Tamandua tetradactyla: one gene and its partners. The protein of the gene in region 2 interacts with the protein of the main gene of each other region in a pairwise test. Links are inferred from orthologs where the notes say so. Each region holds a gene or a part of one and is shown on either strand. Other genes may lie near its edges.

Region 1 (7,910 bases), on a different chromosome or scaffold from region 2:
GGGCTGGTGCACCTCTGCCTTGGGAGACACAAAGTCCATCTCTGGAGGAAGTCCCCCAATCCCAGCCCATAGCTGCCCCTGACCCACTACATGTAGATGTGGCAGGCTGGGCTGATCTTGAGGGGACATTCCTGAACATGGGTGGTCCTGGGGCCAGTGAATCACTCCTTCTCTGTGCCCCCTCACTACACACCTCTCCCCCTCAACCCCCTGCTTTCCCATAAGCGGCTTATGGAAGCCCAGCTCTCTTAAGCAGCTTAGCAAAAGCTCTGCTGACTCAAGCCCAAGAGCCTGGAAAACTGTGGAGGGGGGAAGGGGAACAACTTTGACCCCACTCTTGGTTGATGTCCAAAAGGGGGAAATCTTAGCAAGCTGAGGGAACCCCCTCAAAGATCATCTAGGCCAGCCCAGGTTCTGAGCTTCCCTCACCTTGGCCCCCACAGAGAAAAGCACAGGCCGAGCCAGGGTGAAGGTGTGGCAGGGACAGTAGGGGGTGGGGGGTTGTTCTCAGGCCCAGGAGGGAAACCAGGAACAACGAGGGGCATGGCCTGCTCTTGTAGCAGCAACTTCAAGTGCTCTGCTAGGAGAGGCCCTAGCAACAAATAGGAAGGAGAGGCACAGTGGGGGGTGGGGGTGCACAAAGCACATCTTCCCCTGGCTGCCCATCCCCCGGAAATCACTCTCTAGGCCCCTGGGCCATCTTCTATTCCTCTGGGACAGGAAGAGGAAGTGAATGTAAAGTCATTCGCCTCTTCCCAAGCGTGGGGCAGACCCCGCCAGCAAGTTCTGCTGACAGCCTGGGGCCCAGCGGGGGTGGGGTGGGACACAAAGCTTGGGGCAGGGTCAATCACAGCTTGGAGGGTAAAGGAAGGGGGACGGAAGTAGGGAGCCCCTCCTCCTACTGATTTTCATAGAAAGTTAGCACTAGTCTAAAGATGTAGAGAAAAGGTACAGGGCCTAGGGAGAGGCGTGGGAGAGGTGGAAGCAGAGTTCTAGTTGTCCAACTTCCAGCCCCTGGTAAGGCTCCCCTTTTTCCCCTCACTCTCCAGCTTTTCACTGGGGAACAACCTTTGCAGTCTGACTTCATTCTCTTCTACTGTAAATTCGATATACCAAGCCCTCTGTCCTTACAGGAAATGAAGATTGGGGGACACCCATGGCTCAGAATACCACAGCCACTCCCTCCCTTCTGCCAGGGAGTGATGAGGATTGGGACCCAGGGTCAGGCCAGAATAAAGGGCAAAGAGACTGAGGGCTAAAACCACAACTGTTCCCTTCCCCTCAGCCACAAATAGCTCCCTAAGCTGGATTCTGGGTTTGATAATCCAGGAACTGCTAACCTCAGGCCAGTGTGATTAGGGTCAGAAGAGACAAGGGGGTGCCAAGGCAGAGAGCCCTGAGAGCATTCTCATCCCCTGGGGTTCTCAGCTTCTGCAGAGGAAAGGGCTCCCATGAAGCCACTTCCCCTACTCACAGCCCACAGATGCCCCATCTCTGAGGGCTATGAATTTCCCCCCAGATTAGGTGACTTCGTGGGATGTGGGCAGGAAGCCCTTTGAAGTTGCAAAACATCCCCAGGACTCGGGTCAGACAGACCTCCTGACATCGTCTAAAATTCTGCCCCAGAGTTAAGCTGAATCTTCAAAGATGCTGTTACCAACTGGGCTGCAATTGACACCGACGTCAGCCTGGTTTTCCAGCAGTGCCTACTTGGGCAAAGGAGCTCAGCACTCCAGGGGCCCAGTCAAGAATGGCCGCTATCTGGCTCAGACAGGAGGGAGCTGGGCCCTCAGGGGCCCAGGTGCACAAGCCCAGGCATGTCATCATGGCCCTTCCACAGATGCTGCACTTGCAGCTCCAGGCTGCAGGGCTCAGGTCCTCTCCAGCACCTGCACTCCATCCCCACAGGGAGGGACCCCTGGCCCCACCCTCTGACAGAGGGAGCCAGATCCACTGCCTGTCTGAATGCCACCCAATCTTCAAAGTTCAACCACCAACTCTGCCATGAGGCTTCCTAGTGACTTGTTCCTCTGTTTTGAATGCCTACTTGCCTGCCTCCAGGCAGCAGCTCTGCTGAGCCCTCAGGCTTGTAGGTAAAAAGGTCCTATTTACAGAGCACTTACAGCATGCCAAGCACTGTGCAGAGCATTCGATTTTCATAACCCTATGAAGTAGGAGCCACTATCCCCATTTTGCAGATGTAGAAACATGCTCAGAGGGGTGAAGTTACTTGCCCAAGGTTACACAGCCAGTGACATGGCAAAGCTGTAACACACCCAAGCTGTCCAGCTCAGAGACTTCATAGTGGAGACCCTCCCCGCAGCTCCATGAGTGCCTCAGGTAGAAGACAGAACCTGCTCCTCGCTGGAGGGGGGGGCGGGGGGGGGGGGGAGGCAGGAACCCACTCCGTGGTAGGGACGGGGGCCAACCCACGGAAGCGTCCTGCTCAGTTCTGCTCCAGGCCAGGGGGATGCCGCCGGGGCCCCAGCCTTCCTACACGATCTCCGGCGAGGGTTCTGCTGTCAGGAAGCCCTTGGTGGTCTCGATTTTTTCAGGGGCGGGGACTGGGGACAGGCCCCAAAGGGCTCTTGAGGACTGCATGGGTAAGGGGCTATGGTTGCAACTGTTGCCCCACCTCCATCACGAGAAAGGGAATAGGACTCTCAAAAAAAGAAAGCGGTGGGGAAGAAATAAACATTTAAAAGAGAGAAGGGACTCCCAGGGTAATCAAGGGAAGTGGAGACAGTGGAACCTCAGGCTTGGAGCCATAAGGAAGAGGCATAAAGGTAGGGGAGGGGGACGCGGAGGGGCACCGGGTGCGGGAAAGGGGGCCGGGGCTCCGTGCGCCGTCAGGGCCCTGCTGCCCGCGCGCTCTCGCGCCCGCGGGCGGCGCTCCCTCGCCGGCGCTCACCGCCAGTGATCCGCTGCAGCCCCAGCACGTCCTCCGGCCCGATCGGCTGCTTCCTCTGCAACGGCCCTGGCCGGGGCCTGGGGCCCGCCTCCAGCTCTGACTCAGATCCGGATTCGGATTCCGCCGGCGGCTTTGGCTCGGCCTTGGGCTCCACGTTTGGGCCCGAAGCCCCACGAGCCGGTTCCGCCTCCGTCCCGGCGCCGCCGCCGCCCTTCTTCACCTTCATGGCCTCGCAGGCCCGCGGCTCCTACTGCCGCCACCGCTGCCTGCGCCGGCTGGAGCCGGGGAAGGGGAGCGACCGCAACCCCGCCCCCGGCCGGGGCCCCAGGTACCGCTCCGCCCCTCCACCGGGGTGGGCCCCAACCCAACCCCGCCCACCCGCCGCAGCCCGGCGGAAAGGGGGCGGCGCGGCGGATCGACGCTCTCCCTGGGCTTCATTCTTTCGGTAGATGTTTCAGGGGGTTCTCCCTACAGCTCCTGGCTGTGCGCCAGTCACTCTGCCCTTGACCCATCAAGCTCGTCCCAGCCTTCGGGGTCTTTGCCTGCGACGCTCTTCTCCTATATGGTCTCTTCTTGTCCACTTGGTCCCAGCTCAAATGCCATCTGCTCAAAGGCCCCCAGCAGTCCCACTTTTAAGTACACCCTTCCCCCCCACCCCAGCTGCTATCTGATCAGCCTGTTTTTTCTTTCTAGTACAGTTACCTGAAGTTATTTTAACTTGCTCCCCGACCCTTCTCCCTAAAAGATCAACTCTGTGAAAGCAGAACCTGTCTGCTTCATTCCCCATATACCCCCAGCCTCAAGCAGTGTCCAGAAAAGCCAGTGCTCTATAAATTTGCTTTTTACTAACTGATGAATTAATATTTGTTAGTACTCACTGATTCTCTCCCAGAGCCTTTGCTAAGATGCAGAAATAGCTGCAGCAGCCTTGTTGGACAACCCAGTATGCACAGAGAGATAACAACCCAGGTGTCCTGCCCTACAGAACAGAGACAGGCAAAGCACATGGCCAGGTGGAGGTGAGGCAGGCCTGTGAACCCAGGAGGGTAGATACCAGGAAACGGTCACTTACACGTGATTGAAAGAATTCAAAGTATACCCATCCTTCACATGATTCTAATTCATATTCAACCAATGTTTATTGAGAGCCTAGTATGAGCCAGATACCTTTATATGCTTTACCTCGTTCAATCCTCATAACCACCTAGTGAAAGAGGTATCATTAGTGCCATTTAACAGGCAAAGAACTGAGGCTCAGAGAGATTAAGTGGCTTATCAAAAGCTCCACAGATGACAAGTGCAGAAGAAAGGATTTAAACTCAGGCCTATTTAATTCCAAGTCCAGAACTTTTCTCACTGTACCACACTGCCTTTCTAAGTGGGTGAATGGAATCTCTCCCACACACACAGCACTAGGTCCTGAGCTGCTTGCTGTCTTCTGGACTCTTATCTGGCTGTACCAAGAGGCATGGCCAGCCAGGCGGGAGGGGAGGAGGCCCCAGAAGTGACCTATGCCTGGCCCTTCCATCACAGCAGTGCTGGGGCTCTCCCGGAGGGATCAGAGAGAAGTGTTGAGTCGGGGGATCCAACCCAGGAACCCAGGGCTTTCCCCTAACATTGCCTTCTTGGTAGGAGAGGAATGTGCCATGTTGAGAAACAGGACAGAGTCACAAGCTGCCCCTGGCCTAGAAAGAAGTCAGCAGGGGCCTTCAAGTTCAAGTCAGATATGGAGACCCAGATGATGCCACTTTTTGAGGAGTGGGGTGATGGGGGAAAATGGAGCCCAGGAAATGGGACAAGAGGAGAGGTGAACCCATCCTGGAGTGCTGTACTTTGGTTGTTGGAGAGGCAGTGGAGGCGGCTAGAGACAAACAAGTCGTCCTGGCAGGCTCCCTTTATAAGTCTCTCAATCAAACACCTCCCACCCTGGCCAGAAAAGAAGAGTCCCTACTGAGATGTTGTCCTGCTCAGTCTATCTTCTCAGGCTTCTTCCAGGACTTGCGTGTCTCTAAGAAGATCTTGGCCAGGGACAGGAGGATGGGCACAGCCATGGGCAGGAAGAGTGGGATGTAGATTGCAAACTTCTGGTCATCAGGGAAATAAAGGAGATGGAGGAGTGAGGGGTCAAAAAAGGCACGCTCTGAGGATGTCACAGCTTCCTGGCTGGCAGTGAAGGCAGAGGCCAGGTGTCCAGCGGCCAACTCCTCTGTCGCTTTCTGGACTGCAGCTACCGCTCTGTACACCTAGAAATAGGAGCATTTCAGTGGAAAGTGTGCCTTCTGTCTACCAGGGCCTACAGTTTGCATAAGGTATGTGAAAGGTTATGGGGGTATTTTCTTAGAGGCAGTGGAGGAGGCTAGAGACGAACAAGTCATTCCGGGCAAGCCCCATTTATGTGCCTCTCAATCAAACACCTCCTTCCCTGCTCAAAATCTCATACTCCCATTTCATCTCCTGCTGTGGAGCTGGTACTGCCCACTGAGGCACTTAAGGATGGCAGGCCCACACATGCCCTGGTGGTATGTGAGAACTGGCTCTCTTTGGTCTCACCACACACTGGCCCTCGCTGGATTCTGAGGCCACAAAGTCCACCCCATGCCCATTTACCTCAGATGCCACATCATCCTTGATAACAATGTTGCTGATCTTGCCCAGAAGCTGGGCCAGGGAGGTGAGGGTGGTGGTGGCCGTGGCTAGGTTCTCCACTGATCGAGCCCAGAGCAGCCGGTCCAGCTCCCACGTCATTAGCCCTTCACTCCTCGGCCCAGAAAGCAGACATTTCAGAGGCACCTGGGGCTGAGCAATCCCAAAGAGCAGCCTGCAGGAAGAGAAAAGTAAGATCAAGATGGCTGATACGAGAAAGTGGTAGAAGGCAGCTAAGATTCCTCAAATATCTGCCCCAAAGCCAGATTCTTGACCTTACTCAGAACCACAGGGCTTATGGGGAAGTGCCTCAGGGTCTGGGTCTGGGGAGTCAGCAGCAAAACCCAGGAATCAGAGCCCTAAATCCTACTTCAACCAGTGTTTCCACTTTTACCTATTTCTATATATGAATTTCCAAGATCTTACTTGAAAAAGGTTCCATGGCTAAAAAATATCTGATCAAGTATACTGATTTAGTTTAATCCCCTCACCCTCTCTACCCTCTCTTTGGACAAACGGGCCCCTGGGACTTAGAGATAAGGGATGATCCAGGGCCACCTATGACAAGGCTTGGGTGCAGTGCCTCTCTAATTCTGCACCCAGGGTAGACACTGCTAATCGATCAGAAGAATACTCTTTCTTGATGAACTCAGAAACAACCGTAGAATCCATCGATCACTCAGTACAAGAATTAACAGCTGTTTCCTCAAGCACCCCTAATCACACCTCATGGACCTGACATTCATGAGTCTACCTTTCTTAAAAGGGAGCTTGTCCCACAACTAGACCTTCTTAGGAAAAGGAAGATGCAATCTTTGGAAACCTCTCCGAGCAAGGTATTCCTGCCAGGTGAGATTTCATTCTGATCTGAAATTCCCACCCTCTACAGTCAAGGAGATTGTCGCTAGACTCTCAGTGGCATGCCCCCAAGTGGATCACCCGGGACCTTACCGCAACTGAGCCAGGAACACCTCCATTACCCGCACCATGTCTACCTCCACTCTCACCGGCAGCCCTGAGGCATTGTAGGCTTTGGGGTCTACGTTGTATATCTGAAAGGAGGGATGAGGTTGCCACACCATCACGCCAGGAATGTGCACAGTTCTGCCCCAGACACCCCTGGCGACCATGTGCAGAGCTGTGCACAGAGAAAGGAAGGACAGTCTCTGTCCTTTAGAAGCTACAGCTAACACTTACTGGGAGCTTTACATAAATTATCTCAATTATCCCCTCAAAAGACCTGTAAAATGATATTTTTATCTCATTTTAGAGTTTTCACCTATGAAGAACTCCTAGTCTAAAGTTGGGAGACAAAAATTCCCAACTTTGCAAGCCTCCCACACATAGGGCCAAGATTAAAAATGTATACAAAGGGCAGGCCGCGGCGGCTCAGTGGCAGAGTTCTTGCCTGCCATGCTGGAGACCCGGGTTCAATTCCCAGTGCCTGCCCATGTTTAAAAAAAAAATGTACACAGAATAGTCCTAAGTAAGTGCAAAAGGTCATATTACATAAAACACTGACAGAGATAAGAAACAGTGGGGCAGGTTGAGGAAGGGAATGAGCACAGAGCACCTCACTGCCTTGGTGCCTATAGCTGGTGCCTCCCCCTCCTCCACCAACAGAAGGAAGAGTCTCAGGGAACATCTCTCTGTCACTGAAGCTTGAGTTCTGGGGTATGCAGTGTGACTATTACCATAATGCCACCCCAGCGGGGGCTGTGGAAGGCATTGGTGGCCACCAGAGCCCCGTCCTTGTCCTGAATGTAGAGGGGAGAGTGGGCAAGCTCAGGCACGTAGAGTAAAAAGTTGAGCACAGGGTAAAGAGAAGCAGCGCTGGATCCTGTGGCACAGAGAGAAGGGTAGACAGAACACCAAAACACAATGGACCTAGCTTAGTTCCAGATCAGCCTCTAATGTGCCAGTCACTCACTTCGGGCCTCAGTTTCCCAACTGCCCATCTCTACCATACCCTCCAGTCTTGGGTTTCTGTGGCAAAGGACCTCTGAACACTCTCCCAAGGTCTGCCACAAGGAAAGACTGCAGTCCTTATTCCCAAAAGGCCCCAGAAATCCCCCCACCTCTAAGAGGCGCCCTTGATTGTCTAAACCAGCTCTCTCGGCAAGTGCCACACTGTATCCATATTGCTAGAGCTAGATTTATGCACAAGTATAGCTCTGATCTTCATGTCAGTTCCCTGCTTAATATTCTTCAATGGCTAGTCATTAATTTTGGGTTAAAATTCAAACTCCCTAATGGGGTCCTTTATGATCTGGTGCCTGGTTGCCTTGCCAGAGCCTAACCTTTGGTCACTCCCTCACAGCTCAGCCACACTCAACTACTCTGAACTTCCCTTTTC
Region 2 (8,348 bases):
GATAATCTTAAAGTTAAGAGTAAAAGATACATTCTGCATTCCCCAGAACAAAATACCTAAGCCAAACAGATTTTATCTTGTCTTGTTTAGAAACTGGTGAGAAAAGTAGAATTGTCCCTCCCATCTCATACTGATTCAGTGCAATAAATGAATTCTGGGCCTGAATACCTGCCAGGAACCATGTGAAGCACTGGGTGATACTTATATTTATTTACAGTTAGTAAGTAACCACTTATTTCCCTGAACTGAAGTGAATAAAAACCTTGTCTTAAATATGAAGGTACTGTCCCTTACCTTGCCTATCTTCTGAGAACATTCTTTTAAATTAAGATAAGAAATTATCAGCAACTTCTAAAATGAGAGGTTTCTTCATCTGCTTTAATAATTTAATCCTATTAAAAGCTGTTAAAAATAGCATCTCCATCTTTCTCTCATTTCTCTTCCTTTCCACTCTCCTCCACATAAAAAGGTGATAAGATCCAGTTGAAAGAACAATGGACAGTACATGCACACACACAGCTCCCTCTTCCAGCTTCCAATAGCAACAACAAGAAGATAGTAAAAAACGACTAAAACAAGAAAGAAAGAAAAGGCAACACACCAATGATTCCTGTCAAGTGCATGGACTGGACATTTAATCTCGTCCTCAAGATTAGCAAATTCTGAAGAATCAAACTTAGAATTAAAAGGAACATGGAGTGGGGGAGGAATACATAAAGGAGCTTGAGAATTGACTTATTCTAAAAATAAGATCCTAGACACAAAGAAATTGATTTTTATTTTTTGGAAATAAGTTTTCAATAAATGCCATACAAGGATAATGTCTTAGCAAAGGAGTCACTCTGAAAGGAAGAAGAAATGAATGATGAGTGGTACATCCTTTTCTCTGAAAGTTATACAAAACGACCACCTCAGGAGAGCTGAGTTTTGTTTTTTTATTTTTCCAGTCTTAGTTTCAGCAAAAATAGGTCTTAATGCTTAAAGGTTTTATTTATTTTTTTTTTTCCTGGCATGGGCAGGCACTGGGACTCGAACCCAGGTCTCTGGCATTTCTTTAATCTTTTGATAAAGGATATGTAGTACCCTCATAAAAGTGAACTGTTTGCTTTAAAATATTTTCCTCACTTTCAGTGATAACCCAAGCAATGTTAGTCATTTCTTATGGGACTGTTTCACTGCACTTGTGAATTTATTAAAAAGCAAAGTTAAAGTAACAGAATAATAATTTTCGTATTATGAAAGCAAAACTAGTATGTAGGGAAACATGGCAGATAAGACAAGAAGGCCCACGGATTTTGACATAAAACTGACCCTAAACTGGCAAAGAAATTAATCTGCTTTTAGGGTAACATTGAGCTCCACAAAGCTTCATCCACCCACCTTTCCTTAGACTACACCCATTTAGAGATTAACCTGAGTAACCAGTATTTCCATTACTCTATTCCTAAATGTTGGGTGCATTTGCACTTAAAGACAGCCTCTGTGAGGCAATATGTAGATTTAACACACACACAGTAAATAAAGAAAATAAAATGATCAGAATCACTTGATTTTATTTTCAGGAATTATTTAATTAAATACCCAAAATTAGCTTTCAACATTATAGGCAATGTCATCCTTTCATATTCGGTAATTCTACTGGGCTTTAATTTAGGCATACTGCAAGACAAAAATCAACATACTGTATCTTACAAGACAGTTTACAAATTAATCATTTGTCCAATTTAGAAAATAATGTTTGGGATCTATCTGGCAAGTTTCTTAATTTATATGGCACTCCGCATAATCAAGTACCCTCCAAATCAGATAATCCCCTTAAAGGTAGTGGGGTGAGCTGCATGGAGGAAGTTACTACCATCAGCAACAGAATAACAAAACAAAATCTGAACTCAGAATTTTTGGCTCTTTTAGTGCGCTCTATTCACTACATGCATTAAGTGCAATGACCATCCTTTCCTACAAGATCACCAAGCCATGAAGCTTTAGGGGAAACATTTTCTTCAAGTAAACTAATGTATAAGCCTAAATAAATTACTAAATCAGAATTCCTTCAGCGCATTTTTATCAGAAAAGCATTCACAGTCTTTCATTTAAAGCATTTCACAGTCTTAAGTGTAATTCCTAGAAGGCACTGGCGAATCTCCTAGAATTGCCAGGCCAATCCGCAGTCGAAAATCAATGCATGTGTCCCAGGGGATGACAGGAGGGTCAATGTTTTAACTCTCCACTTCAACTCTGCATTGCAATAGCGGTTCTAGCTTGGAAGGTAAACATGGAAATTGTATGGGAACACAGCCAGTGTAAGAATGAGGATCCCTCTAACCGCAAACATGCAACTCTGGGGAAATGAAATCGCTGGAACAACATACGACGCTTTCATAATTCCACAAACATATATACAAATCCACTTTCAAAATAATGTCCAGGTCCCAACTCTGTGCGGACACTTTTCCCACCTAAACTCAGCACAAGCCTGGCCTAGAAGAACAGCTAGGATCAATCCCGTGCACAGCGGCATGCACCCGCAACCTGAACGGCGGGACAGTCCTGTTCCGGCCAGGTGGCGATGTAGTTTAGTCCAGTCTCGTTTATGGTAATGTGCTTTTAAAACCCTGCCGCGACCGAGGTCATAGCTTTAGAGATCTAATAACAACCAAATGACTGGGGCTGCCGGGCACTTAGTGAGCCATTCTGGTTATGGCTCTTTAATAGTACCTGGAGTCCTGAAGGGAAAGCAGAAAACTCCGGCTTCCCGGGAAAGAAAAGTCCTCTGCGGAGAAGCAAAGAAACCTACCACGGACGCCCCGCCGCCCGCAGCCCCATTTCTCGGACAGCCCCAGCGCTGCCCTAGCCCGGCAGCCCGGCTGGCCCCGGCCTCACCTTTACCTGTCGGCTCCACCACCCCCCTGCCCTGCTGCGCTGCTGCCCCGGCTGCCGCCTCTCCAAGCCCCGGGCAAGCTCTACCGCCGCTGCAGGAGAAAGAACCCCAAAGGCATCCCATACCAAAGAAAGAAAGCAAAAAGGCTGTTCCTCAAGGCGGAGGGACATAGGGCACGCCGAGATCTGAGAGGCGACACGCCACCCCTGCCCCGCACCTACCAGATAATCCATGTACAGAAACGCCTCAGTTATCCGGAGATCAGACATCCGGCAGCCTAAAGCATCCGGAACGGCTCCGAACCCGGAAAAAAAAGCAGCGTCTCTGACTGCGAGCGATCAGCCCCTGAAAAGCCAGCAACAGCGAAAATAGCCGAGAGCAGCCGAAGAGCCGAAGATTACACAAGGGGCGCGGCGATTGGCCAGGCGGGAGAGCAGAGGGAAAGGAGGGCACTCATTGGCTGAGGTGCCTATAAAAGGCAGGCCTTTGCTGAAGGCTGGTGAGAAGCGCGGGAGAGGCGAGGCCGTAGGTGTCTATGAGCTAGAGGGGCGTGGGCTGGGGAGGCGCAGGCGGAAGAACGAGCGTAGAAAAAGCGGAAAATCGCCAGATACTGCCGCCTGAATGCTGTGTGCTCCTGTAGCCTCAGATTAGGTAGAGGGAACAGAACCCTGGGCTGCAGTCCCCCAGTAGAAGCAAGCACTTTAACGTGGGAGGAACGTAGTCGCCGACACTTAATGTTTCTCTCAGGAGCGTTTTCCTAAAGGCTCTGAGGCCACGAGACATACTGCAGGGACAAGAAGGGTGTAGGAGCATTCTTCGTGAACAGACAAAACTCCACCTGACTTGGGGGCGGAAAGACCCCTCCCACCTTCATCACGTGAAACTGCTAAGGTGAGCAACGTCAGCCTGATGCCCCTGGGGGCGCACACACGTTCCCATCGCAGCCTGGAGCAACTCGGGAGACGAGGTATTATCAGAAACTCCCAGCTCCTGAAAAGAAAAAAAAAGTTTGGAGATTTGGTACAGTCAGTTGCAGTTCCCAAACACTGGGAAGGAGAATTCTTTCAACACTTTGAATCCACTTAACACTGATTACAAATCCAATGCCCCTGTATAAAATTTAGCAGGAGCATAAGAAGCTCTCTGAAAAGACCCGAGTCATGTACTATGGCCCGCGTTACTTGAAGAAGTGAAAGTACCTATGAGCAGAGGGACTTGAGACTTGTGCTTTTCCTGGTGAATAACTTGGGAATTGGAGTTGGATTTCAAAAGTACGCTAAGCTGATAAAGCCTGAGTCTGACAAGAAGCCGAGTAAGAACTCTCGAGGCTGTAATTGAAGATTCAGCCTTTTGAATAACTATAAGTGCCAGACACACCTACCTTACTAGGCTCAGGTGATTGGGTAACTTCCAGGGTTTAAGGAGAAAGGAGAATGAAGAAATTGCTCTCACTTGTATTAATAATTAGTGCTTCCATACAATAATATTTCACGAGTGCAACTTCTTTAGCTAAAACCTTTCTGGGTTTTTAAATGTATTCAAATGTTGATTTAGGGATTGAAGTTGAATTATTTTCCCCCAACTTTGCACCTTCCCTTTTTGTATTCCCAGGTACTGAATTTCCAAACAATAAGATTTCTCAGGCTACCAATGCAATTCTACTGTTAGAAAACAGTGGCATTCACCTAACTCTGCAGCTAACCTTGAAAGGAATATAGCTCCTTAGAGAGGGCTTAAGGTTGTTGAGCCATATGACGTATTGGGTATGTTATCTAATCTACCTGAGTATGTTCATTCAGTGGAGAAATGAGAACTACACCAGTTTTTTTTTTTTTTTTTCACTTGAGACATTCACTGTATTTGTAGAGGGGTGGGGAAAACAGTGGAATGAGAGATACAAAACTGGGAAGACAGGATGCTGCAGGTGCCAGGACCCCCTAGAACTCCTCCCTCTCATCCACACCGTCCCTAGACTCTGTGTCCACTGCTTCATAATCCTTCTCCAGAGAAACCAGGTCCTCTCGGGCTTGGGAGAATTCCCTTTCCTCCATACCCTCACCCGCATACCAATGTACGAAAGCCCTCTTGGCATACATGAGGTCAAACTTATGGTCAAGGCAGGCCCAGGTCTCAGCTGTGGTGTTGTTTAGCATGCAGACTGCCTGCTGCACTTTGGCCAGGCCCCGCCCCAGGAACCACTGTTGGGCTGGTAGTTGATGCAAACCTTGAAACCCACGGGACACCAGTCCACAAACTGCATGGTACGCTTCTTTTTGATTGTGGCAATGGTGGCATTCATGTCCTTGGGCATCTCCACGTAAAGCATGCAACAGACCATGCACTTGTCATGACAAGGGTCACACTTGACCATCTGATTAGACAGTTCAAAGCAGGTGTTCTAGTTTGCAAGCTGCCAGAATGCCACTTACCAGAAATGCAACAGCTCTTAAAAAGGGGAATTTAATATGTTGCAAGTTTATATTTTAACAATTGTGTATTACATTTCAAAATGTGTCTTGGTAAAAAACCTGATGCTTCAGAACTCTATATGGAGCCCAGTTTTTCAAATTAGGTTTTAATCTTCAGGGTATTAATGGATCCATCCTTGTGTAGAGAAGAGACTAACTTGACTGTGTTGGTATGAACAGATAATACACTATCCACTAATAATAGATAATACTACATGAAATGGTGGTATTAGCTGATAGGTTTGATAGCAAAAACTGTAATCACTCAAATGCATGCTTTTAAAGAGAGTGTACAGAGGTTAGAATGCATTCATTCAACCTACTCCACTATATACCAAGTAATGAGCTGCAGTCTTGAATAAGACATGGTATCATTAATCTAGTCCTGCCTTTGCCCTCCGTAAAAAGAACGCCCCTCTTCCAAATGCATAGGAAAACATGTATAGACTTGTTGAACAATGGTATTGCACAGTTCCGGAGGAACGAGGCCATCTATGCTGCTTGTCAAAAGTAAGGGGAAACTCTGTTGACAGTCCATACTCTACAATTCTGCAAAGATGGCTGGCTAACCAGATTTTTGTTCAAATGTCACTCGTAGGAAACAAAAACAGAACTGCATTTTTTACAAATTGGTCCCCTAAATTTTACCATGCCCCCAAATCAATATCTTAGTGGCTATTTCCATAAAGTCTTTTTGTTGTTCATTTGCTTGATGAATATATTAACTTACAGAAGAACACTGTCTTTACTAGTTTTGGGTCATGCACGTTGACCTAATATGTTAACTTCACCATATGAAACTCTTATGAAAAATTATTAGAAATGAAATTGCTAAATTACTTTTTTTTTTTTTTAACATAGGTCAGCACTAGAAATTGAACCTGGGTCTCCAGCACGGCACGTGAGAATTCTGCCACTGAGCCACTGTGGCCCACCCTTAAAATGCTTTTTAATACTCATTTTTGTATTAGCTTATAGTCTTCTTTCCCCCTACTCCAAACTCCAAAGTAGGGAGTGTTTATCTTCTTTGATCCTTGCATTCTTTGAGTATATTATTCCTTAATAGCTAAGCGACATGTCTTTCATTAGAATCACTCTTAAACTATGGACACCCCTTTTTCAGAAAAATGGAGGTGTCTGTACATGGACTTCTGCAGAAGTCATTCAGGCGCTTTTCTCATTTACTGCCTCCTGTAAATCCTATGATCTTCAAATTCTCTTCTGAGCCCTGTCCCTATTTTTCAGGGTTGCCTTAACCCCCACCTCTGCTTTACCCCTTCTTTACCTCTTCTTGACCCCTCCTCTACTTCCTAAACCTAAACAAAATTCGACTATCTCCTAGGAGATGAGCCTTACTGGAGCAGAGTGCTCCCACATAAAGCTGCTAACAGTATGTGATTATTAAATGGAAGAGATTGAACAAAGTTAGAGATTAGAATTAAGATTAAGATATTCTGGCATGGGTGGTTCAGTGGCAGAATCATCACCTTTCATGCAGGAGACCCAGGTTCAATTCCCGGACCTCTTGTAGTTAGAAAATTTAAAATTTAAAATATCTCTATGTCAAATGAAACCTATTTTCTCTTCTACAGGTAGATGCTCAAGTCTCATACATCTCTTCTTTAAAGCTCAGTGGCCTGAAGTCATGATAAACTTCTGCTGCTACTTAATTATATGAGTTTGGGTAAGTCACCTATTCCTTTTGGACTTCTCTTTACACAGCTATAGAATAGAGTTAGACTAATCACTGAACAATTAAGGGTTACTTCCAGATCTAGAGATCTATAGTCCAGGTTCACTGACTTATCCTTTTTTCTCCCAGAAAGGATTTGCTGGGTATTGGAGTATTACAGCAACAAAAGACACTTAAAATGAAAATTCACCATTTAAAGCAAGAGTAAATAATTATACTAGGAAAAGGTGATTAGACCTTATAAACACCAAGTATCATGAAGCTATGCATTCATTTCGGTATGTCCCCAAGTTTAATTAGCATCTTAGACATGGCACTGCACTGCTGACAGTATTAGTTTCCTGTTGGTGCTGTAACAAATTACAACACATTAGTGGCTTGAAACAACATAAATTTATCCTCTTAGAGTTTAGAGGCCAGAAGTTCAGACTGAGTCATGATCTGGATTTCAGCTTCTTGCCTCTACTGGCTTCAACGATCCTTGACTTGAGGAATAATTCTAATCTCTACCCCTGTGGTCATACTACCCTCTCATCTTCTGTAGTCTAATCTCCCTCTACCTCTGGGAGACTAGATGGTATATAGGACCCACCCAGATAACCCGTTTGTGTCAAGATCCTTAATTTAATCACACTGCAAAGTCTTTTCTGCCATAAAAAGTTACATTCACAGGTTCCTGGGATTAGGACCTATATATCTTTGGGGGCCATTAGTCAACCTGCAACATTTATCTTATGATATGAAGAAAAAGTAAATATTTCCATTCTTCCAGAGACAAGAATAATTCATTAATGACTTGGCATCAGAAAACTGGGGATAACCTCTCAACTTTCAAACGAATTTGATAACTTAAAACTTTCAGATGCAGCAACTAAAGTCCTTTCCATCTCTACACAGTCCAGCTATTTCTCATGTGTTCTTCTTCCCATAGTGTGTCATCTCCTATTTTACTTTTGGTTTCCATTTCTTTTGATTACATCAATATTAACTTTTCCATCAGATCATCTCCACTCATTTCTTTTCTTTCCTTGTCCATGGCTAAACTTTCCACTTCATAATATTTATCTAGACTAACTTCCTTCCTTTAATTTTATTTATCTGATTTTCATAATATGATTAGTTCACCCCTCTGCACAACTCAAACTCTATTAGTCAGTTGTTTCTATTCCAGTATTTATAATATTTCTATTAGAGAAGGATAAAAGATCTGAACATATTTAATTAGACAATGCATTATGGTGGATTTGAACCTTCTGTGGGATAAACATCCAAGTTGCTTTATCCTTTATAAGAGGGAATAAAATGCCAT
Region 3 (8,214 bases), on a different chromosome or scaffold from region 2:
AAAGTTTGATTTCTACTACATATCATACATGCCAATAGAGGTGGGTTACTGATATAAATTTTAAAAAGAGAAGAAAAACAGAGGAGGATATTTAAGCTTAGATATGGATAATCTTAAAACATGACACAAAATACAGAAGCTATATTAAAAATATTGATATTTGACATGTCAATTTAAAAATCCTGCTCAATAACCACACAAGAGAAAAGGAACACATTGAGAAAAAAATATTTGCAACATATATTTATAATATATAATTTATAATAAATGTTGCAAAGAGTTAATATTAAAATATTTAAAATATTTAAAGAATACCTACAGAGGAAGTAAGACAATTCAATAGTAAAATAGGCAAAAACAAAATTAACAAGCAAGTCACAGAAGAAAAAAGAAATGGCCAAATACAGAAAAAGATTTGCAATTTCTCAATAATAGTAACTAACACATAATGCTTAGTATGCAACAGGTGCTTTTCTAAATGCTTTAGATTATCAACTCATTTAATCATCACAACCCTGTAAGTTAGGTACTGTTATTATCCCCATTTTACAGATGAGCAAAGTGAGGCAGAGGTTAAAGAAGTTGCTTAAGGACACAAAACTAGGATACCAAAGCATGTAGAACAGCTCAACACTTGTCCAGTATAGCTCTTAACTACTATATCTATTAGCTCTCCAGGGATTTAGGACTCTAGGGAAACACACATTAAAACAAGATATCATTGGTTGTCCAAATTAGCAAAATTAAAAAAGACTGATGTAGTGAATGGGGGGGAATGAGTATTGTCAACACTGTTGGTGGGAAAATAAAATGGAGCTTCCCGTTTTTAGTAATAAACTATTCTTATAGAAACAGATACTCCAAAACAAAGTTCAAAAAAACAATTTATACTTTAAAAGGCAACCAACAGTGGGGTAAGGGTAGCTCAGTAGTAGAATTCTCGCCTGCCAGGCTGGAGACCTGGGTTTAATTCCAGGACCCTGCCCTTCCTGACTGTTTTGCAAAAGAAAAAAAAAAACCCTCCTTTAAAAGTCAGTCAACAGGGCAGGCCTCGGTGGCTCAGTGACAGAGTTCTTGCCTGCCACCGGCCTGGGTTTGATTCCCAGTGCCTGCCCATGTTAAAAAAAAAAGAAGTCGACCAACGGTCTGGTTGTTTTTCACCAAAACACTAATTTTATTTTTTTCTAAAGCTTAATAGCAAATCTTAAAACTCCTTTCCTTTTCTCTCTTCATTTTCAGTTGCCATAAAGGTTACTAGAGGATGGATGTGCAATTCATTGCTTCCATGCTAACTTTAAGTGGCTGCTTCCCTTGTGCTTTGTGATTTAGTTAGCTCAAATCAAACTTTTTTTGATTTTTTTTTTCCTGTGAGCCTGTTTCTTAGCACACGAGTGTCATGACTGTATTGGTTAATTCATCTTCCCTTCTAGTGGGCTAACACAGATTCTGTTTCTACTTTTTTCCATCTTTGTTCCTTAGCCTCCTACTCAACTGGTTCAAAAGCCAAGAGAAGGTGAGAAGCGCCAAATTTCCCTTTCTGCTTTGTTCAAAAGCAATAATAATAATTTTTAAAACCCTCTTGTTTTTAGCAACAAATTATTTCCAATCAGTCAAAAAAGTTGCTTCTGAAATCTCCCAACTCTCCACAGTCTCCAACTTACTTGTCTAAACCATACATGTTAAATAGCAATATAAAATACTTAAAAGTAAATTTTTTTCTTTCTTTTTATAGGCTCCATTATGAAGAGAAACATGGAACGATCCATGGAACTATAAAAAAGGCTGTTACTAAGATTCACTACATAAACGTACTGAAAGTTTATCATGAATGAAAGGTGATACAACTTTAAATTTTTGCTTTGTTTTGTTTTGTTTTAAGCAGAGCAGTCCACTTCCATTTGAAAAATTTCATTTATACATCCAAAACTTCCTACATTTTGTGTTCTAAAAATTGTTACCAACTTGTTTTCTAATTATGACAACACAATTTAATTGGAGTGAAATGGGCATTGTGAAAACCCAACAGACACCTTGGAGAACTGCACAAGACTTCACTAAACTTCCAGTGGGGGAGCCAGAAGGTGATGACTGCATTTTCACTGAGAAAGGAATTGAATGGATAGGATGTAAGAAGAGATTAAGATCAGCAGGAAAATACATAATCGGAATATACAAGATTGCATTTTTTTTCATCTGCATCATATGGTTACAGATGGATACCTCATTAAAACACAAAGCTCCCTTACTGCATTAAGGAGAGAAGGTAGCAAAAGTCGCATCACTACAAGCCTGAGGCAATGATTTTTATCTATTCTACCCAACCTAACCATGTTTAATTGCTGGACAGCACCACCAGGTCCAGGCATTTACCACAAAAGTGAGCAAGCAAAGACACCTTTGCTAGGCGTCCCAAGGCAAAAACCAAAGTACCTCGAAGCATCGCTCACGCAAGTTCGTGGTCTTCATTTTTCTGGAAAGAAAAGTGAAAAGCTGAGGGGAAAAGCAGTGAGCATCCAATGCCTCAAAAGACCAAGAGAGAGCTGAAATGAGGTTGGTCTCGGACTTCCCTTTCCACAACTTCCTCTACTCGGGCCCTGGAAGAAGCCACAAGTGAGGAAGAGAAGTTGTGGAAACCAGACGAAGGTGGTGGGGTAGGGGGATCTGAGAGATTTAGCACAAGCATTGGCATTTGTCCCACACAAAGTCACTCGCCGCAAGTCACTCTTGCCCTCTCTCCCGGTGGGCTTCCTGCCAACCGGGCTTCTAAGCTTCGAGGCCAGCCTGCCGCGCCCCCCTCGGCCCTTCCCCCGGGCTGCAGCCCCTTTTCTGCCTCTGGGTCCCAGCCCGAGCTCGGAACCACACTGGTCTCCCCGACACCCGTCTCGGATGCCCGGCACCCCTCCCAGCCAATTCCCGGGCTCCTCCGTCTTCCACCCCCGGGGCTCCCGTCAACGTCCCCTTCCTTCCTCAGGACGCCCCATTCCCCGGGCGCTGTACCTTCCTCTCCCTTCCCGCTCCCCTCCAGCTCAGGTGTCCACCTGGAGCGGCCCCCACCCCCAGCCCATCTCCTTAGGGAGCTGCCGTCTCCCAAGTCCTCCCGGCCCCGCCCCGCTCCCGGGCGGATACAGTTTGAAGCCCCTCAGGATCTCCCTGGCCCGCTCGTCCTTGGCTGACATGATGCGGCGCCCGCCTCCCGCAGCTCTCTTATGCTGGCCCAGCGGAGCCTCGCAGACGGTGCCCAGGAACCGAGGACAGTGCCACAGCCGGGCCTGGAGTCCTCGGGCGAGCAGCGGCAGCGGCCCGACCTGGACCGGCCTCTCTCTCTCCCTCAGCTCCCGCTCCTGATCCCTTCTCCTTCCCCTAGCCCCCGAGTGCCCACCCCAAAGCCAATGAAAAGCCGGTTTCGACGATTGGCATCCTGGCCAGCCTATAAAAACACTCAGCGGCTTCGCGGGGGGGACGGTAAGCGTCAATGGGAAGGACCCTCCCCGGGAAGTCCCTTAGGACAAAATTTTCATTCGGTGTTGCCTGGAGTTTGCCCCAGAGGCGGGCTGACTTCACATCATCTGAAGAAGCTCGAGGGAACTGTCACCGCCTCTGGGCCCGATAAGGGCTCTGAGGTGACTGCAAGTTGAACTATGCGGTGTGATGAAGACCACATTTCCCAGAACTCCACGGGCGCGACCGGGGATCACAGTTCTCAGCAAGCAACAGAGGCCAGGGACTACAATTCCCAGCATTCTCTGCACTCCGCTTCTGTGTAATTTAGACCCCAGTGTGCCCGGCACTGTGCATAAATTCATAAACCCGCCAGCTAGCTTCATGGTTTCTGAATCCCGAGCCTTGAAACCTGGCAGGAAGGTCCTCTTCACCCTCCAATGAAGATGACAGCACAAGGAGAGTTAACTTCTTTTCACAGCTCCTGCAAATCGTGGTAAGACTGCAAACAACAAAAATAATGATTAAACCAATACGTAACAAAACTCCTTCAAATCGTGCTTACTTGCCGGTCTGGGGTGCCTTTTACGTGGCTTTTAAGGGTTTCTGGTATGTCCTGCACTGGAGGTAGAGCTATCTATTGTAAACTCATATTCGTGAAGGGGCTTTAAAAAAATTGCTGATCCATCCCTTGTTTTAGATATGAGGAAACTGAGGTCTGGAGAGGAGAGGAGACTGGCCGCAGATCAAGTAAGTTGAGGCAGAGTTAGAATTCGGCTTTAAGCCCCTTGAGCCCAGTTGAGCTCTTAGCACTGCACTAGCATGGTGATATTTTTAGGAGAATGGCTATGTGATTGGCCTTGTTGAACAGTTTTCCCATACAGGGTTGAAACACCCAGAGGTTAGGCAAGTATTTATTTAGCGAATTACCTGCAAATGAAAGAGTGTGATTGTTTATCTTTAGTCTAAGTGAGTCTTGGTATCAGTTGTCACTCAAACTGGCATTTAATGCAATTTCAGGAACTAAGTAAAACTGCAGTCTAAGCAGGGGTTTCTTAGGAGGACTTCTCTATCCTAAGCCTTCCTTCCTATTCCTGTCTCCCCACCCCCTACCCCTTCACCCCTCTGGGCACCCACCCAATCTTTTTTCTTCCATGTAATCAAACAAATGTTTTCAGCTTCCATTATTTACCAGCTGCTATGTGTGGGTTAAGGGTGAAAGACTTGGCCACTGCCACCAGGAAGCTAATCTCCTAGTTAGGGAAATAGGGAGCTTCATTTAGATACAAGGTGAAGTGTGAGAAATGGCAGAAAAGAATGATGTCAGAATGCTACAGAAGTTCTGATGGAGAGATTTATTACAACTGATCAAAAGTTTATGGCAGGGCAGGCAACAGTGGCTCAGCAGGAAGAGTTCTCGCCTGCTATGGGGAGACCCGGGTTCAATTCCCAGTGCCTGTCCATGTAAACAGAAAAAAAGTTTATGGCAGAGGTAGCATTTGAACTTGAAGGGTGTGTGAAATTTTCTACTTTAAAAAATGTTTATCTTTAAATTTTTCAGTTATTGAGGGAAACTGACGTTTACTAAGAGACATTTTCACATTTGTATACCCTTGTCTCTCCATCACTCAAATCAAGATATAGCACATTTCTTGCACCCCTTGTGCCCCTTCCCAATCAGAACTTCACCCCCATCCCCAGATAACCATTATTCTGACGCCTACCACCATAGATTAGTTGTCAGTTCTTGGCTTACATTTAAATGTAATCATACAGTAAAATTCTCTTCTGTGTCTAGCTTTTTTCATTCATCAGTATTCTTGTGAAGATTCATCCAGGTTATGTGCAGTGGTAGCTTATTTTTGCTGTTGTTGCTGAGCAGTATTCCATTGAATGTATAAACTACAATTTATTTACCTATTCTGTCAAAGGACATTTGGGTTGTTATCAGTTTTTGGTTACTATTATCAAAGTTGCAATGAGCATTCTTTTTTTCCCCTGTATATATGAGATTTATAAAGGTGTCTCACACAACCATGGGAATGGAAGAGTCCAAAATCTGTAGGGCAGGCTGTGAAGCTGGTGGCTCTGATGAAGGGTCTGGATGAACTCCACAGGAGAGGCTCGCTGGCTGAAGAAGCAGCGAGTCTCTCTTCTTCCTTAAAAGCCTTCAACTGATTGAATTATCTCGTTGTGGGAGATATGCCTTAGTTGATCGCAGATGTGATCAGCCACAGATGCAATCAACTAACTGATGATTAAAAACACCAGCCTTCCGGCTTTCGTCCAGCCACGAAATATTCTTGCAGTGCAGTAAACATTCTTAAATATATGTGTCTTTTTACGGACATGTACACTCATTTCTCGGAGTGGAGTTATTGGCTGTAGAGTTTGTATGTGATCGTTATTACTAGTTATTGACAAATTGTTTTCCAAAGTGATTGCACCAGTTTAAGCCTTCAACAGCAATGTAAAAGAGTTTTAATTGCCTTTTACCCTTGTCACTACGGGATCTTTTAAATTTTAGCCATTTTGGCTAAACATGGTTTCTCATTAAAAAGTATTTGCACTTTTTTTTATGTATTTTTTATTTAAGTAAACAAACAATACGTTTAGAACCAACAAAAGTAGACATTTTAGTTAGCTCAACCATGGTCATATTTAAACAAAGTATCCATATAATCATTATAAAGCCTGTGTTTGTGTATTTGCACTTTCATTATGGTAATTGCCTCTCCATATACTTATTGGTCATGTCCTCTTTGGTGAAGTTCCTGTTACAGTCTCACGCCCATTTTTTTTTTAAATTGGATTGTCTTCTTTTTGATTTTGCAGTTATTTATATAGTCTGGATACGAGTTCTTTGACATATGCTTTGCAAATATCTTCTCCAACTGTTTTTTTTTTTTTCACTCTCTTATTGGAATGTTTTAAATAAATGGAAATTCTTAATTTCAAGTAGAGCGATAGGTCAGTGTTTTCTTTTTTGGTTAGTGGATTTTTCATCCAGTTTAAGAAATCTTTGCTTACAAGGTTAGTAGGATATTAGCAGGCAAGTTAGAGAAGAGCTTTGCAAATAGACGAGAACAGGTTTGAGCATAGGTCTTGGTGTCAGAGAGGGAAAGTGCAAGTGTGTTGGGTATGGGAAGGCCTGGAGTTTGGGCTGTGAAGGGGGTGCTGGGAGACAGCTGGAAGGGTAGGGGAAAAGGCTCACTATGAATGATTTTAACTGCAGCCTTAGAGTCTGGACATTATTCCAGAGGAAGAGGAGTCACTGCCAGAATGTTTATGAACTGAGAATGACTGGATGGATGGGAGCTGTCCTTTGCACAGTCTTGACTATTTGTAGGTCATTTATGTGCAGGCACTAAGTACCGAGCAGGGTAGGAGAAGGACCAAGTACAGCTCTTGCTGGTCCCACTCACCCAAAACGAAAGCATGTAGTTTGGTGGTTCAGTGGTAGAAGGCTCGCCTTCCATGCGGGAGACCCGGGTTTGATTCCCGGACCATGCATCCACTCCTCCCTCCTCCCAAAAAAACCAAAATAAAAACAAAACAACATGTAGTTTATAGAAGCTTCTTCCCTTCCTAGAAGGCAGTTTAGTAACCACTGATGGTTACTAGAGCTTGGGGAGGAGCAGAGGTTAACACCTTTCCCACCTCCACTCTAGGAGCCCATCAAAAGATGCATTTCAGGGTGGGCCACGGTGGCTCAGCAGGTAAGAGTGCTTGCCTGCCATGCCCGAGGACCCGGGTTCAATTCCTGGTGCTTGCCCATGTAAAAAATAAAAAAATAAAAAAAGATGCATTTCAACCACCCTAGCACTCTCCCTGGGAGAAGTTCTGGTAAGTATGGTTTTCCCATCTCCCTACAGCCCCGCAAGGACAGGATAACTTCTAACTGGCTGACCTGTAGACTAGCTCTTTCCTGTTCAAGGATTAATTCCCACTCACTGATCCGGCTGTGGCTTCCAATGGCCAAATTTCCCTTCCACTCACCTTAGCTGGCCTGGGTAGTCTTCTGAGAAGGTAAAAAGTGCCTCAGTTGGATAGTTGATACTGAAGTGTAAATAGATGAAAATCTTCTGGGGAGATATTTACATTTTAAAGGAAACGTCGTTGATCAAAATAAAACCTTAGTAGAAAATGTGGAAGAAGTCAGAAACAAAAAATTACTTATATTCCCATCACCCAGAGAAAACCCCCATTGAAGTTTTGGTGTGGTTTCTTCAAGCTCTGACTCTATGTATGTACTCATGTTTATGTTTCTGGCCTTCCTTCCCTTTAGCTGTTGCTCTCTCTTGTCCATCACACCCAAGTTTGTGGAAAGAATCATCCGTGCTCAGGGTCTATTTGCTCCCCTTCCTCACTCTGGCCTCCAAAAAGTGGTCTAGCACAATGCCTTCTTTACTGCTGAATTGACAAACGAATGACCATGTATTAGTTTGTTAAGCGGCCAGAAAGCAATACCAGAAATGAAACGGCTTTTAAAAAGGGAATTTAATGAGTTACAAGTTTACACTTCTAAGGCCATAAATATGTCCTAACTAAAGCATCTAGAGAAAGATACCTTGGCTCAAGGAAGGGTGATCTGGGAAGGCACGTGGCTGGTATCTGCTGGTCCTTGGTCCTCGTTCCCAGTTCCATTGCATCCAGCTTCTGGTGCCAGTGGTTTCCTCTCTAAGTGTCTGTGGGCATTCACTTAGATGTTCGGGGGCAAAACTCTGGGTTTCATCTCTTAACTTAGCATCTGCCAGGGCCTGAGATTTCTTCTGT

What was found.
Region 1: the proteins of ARL15 (region 2) and UNC119 interact in binary tests that used the Homo sapiens proteins (3 or more experiments, as listed by UniProt). The link is inferred for Tamandua tetradactyla from reciprocal best matches to the Homo sapiens genes ARL15 and UNC119.
Region 3: the proteins of ARL15 (region 2) and PDE6D interact in binary tests that used the Homo sapiens proteins (3 or more experiments, as listed by UniProt). The link is inferred for Tamandua tetradactyla from reciprocal best matches to the Homo sapiens genes ARL15 and PDE6D.

Annotation. Positions count from the first base shown.
Region 1 is NC_135332.1:51,779,557-51,787,466, forward strand, and holds the start of UNC119 (protein unc-119 homolog A), read right to left. Parts: upstream 3,250-7,910; 5' UTR 3,138-3,249; coding exon 2,912-3,137; intron 1-2,911. Other genes in the region: GPI-anchor transamidase component PIGS, read right to left, coding at 4,879-5,154, 5,519-5,729, 6,506-6,606, 7,249-7,394. UniProt on the Homo sapiens protein: Involved in synaptic functions in photoreceptor cells, the signal transduction in immune cells as a Src family kinase activator, endosome recycling, the uptake of bacteria and endocytosis, protein trafficking in sensory neurons and as lipid-binding chaperone with specificity for a diverse subset of myristoylated proteins.
Region 2 is NC_135335.1:100,505,061-100,513,408, forward strand, and holds the start of ARL15 (ADP-ribosylation factor-like protein 15), read right to left. Parts: upstream 3,255-8,348; 5' UTR 3,148-3,254; coding exon 3,100-3,147; intron 1-3,099.
Region 3 is NC_135329.1:207,758,979-207,767,192, forward strand, and holds the start of PDE6D (retinal rod rhodopsin-sensitive cGMP 3',5'-cyclic phosphodiesterase subunit delta), read right to left. Parts: upstream 3,376-8,214; 5' UTR 3,177-3,375; coding exon 3,127-3,176; intron 1-3,126. UniProt on the Homo sapiens protein: Promotes the release of prenylated target proteins from cellular membranes. Modulates the activity of prenylated or palmitoylated Ras family members by regulating their subcellular location.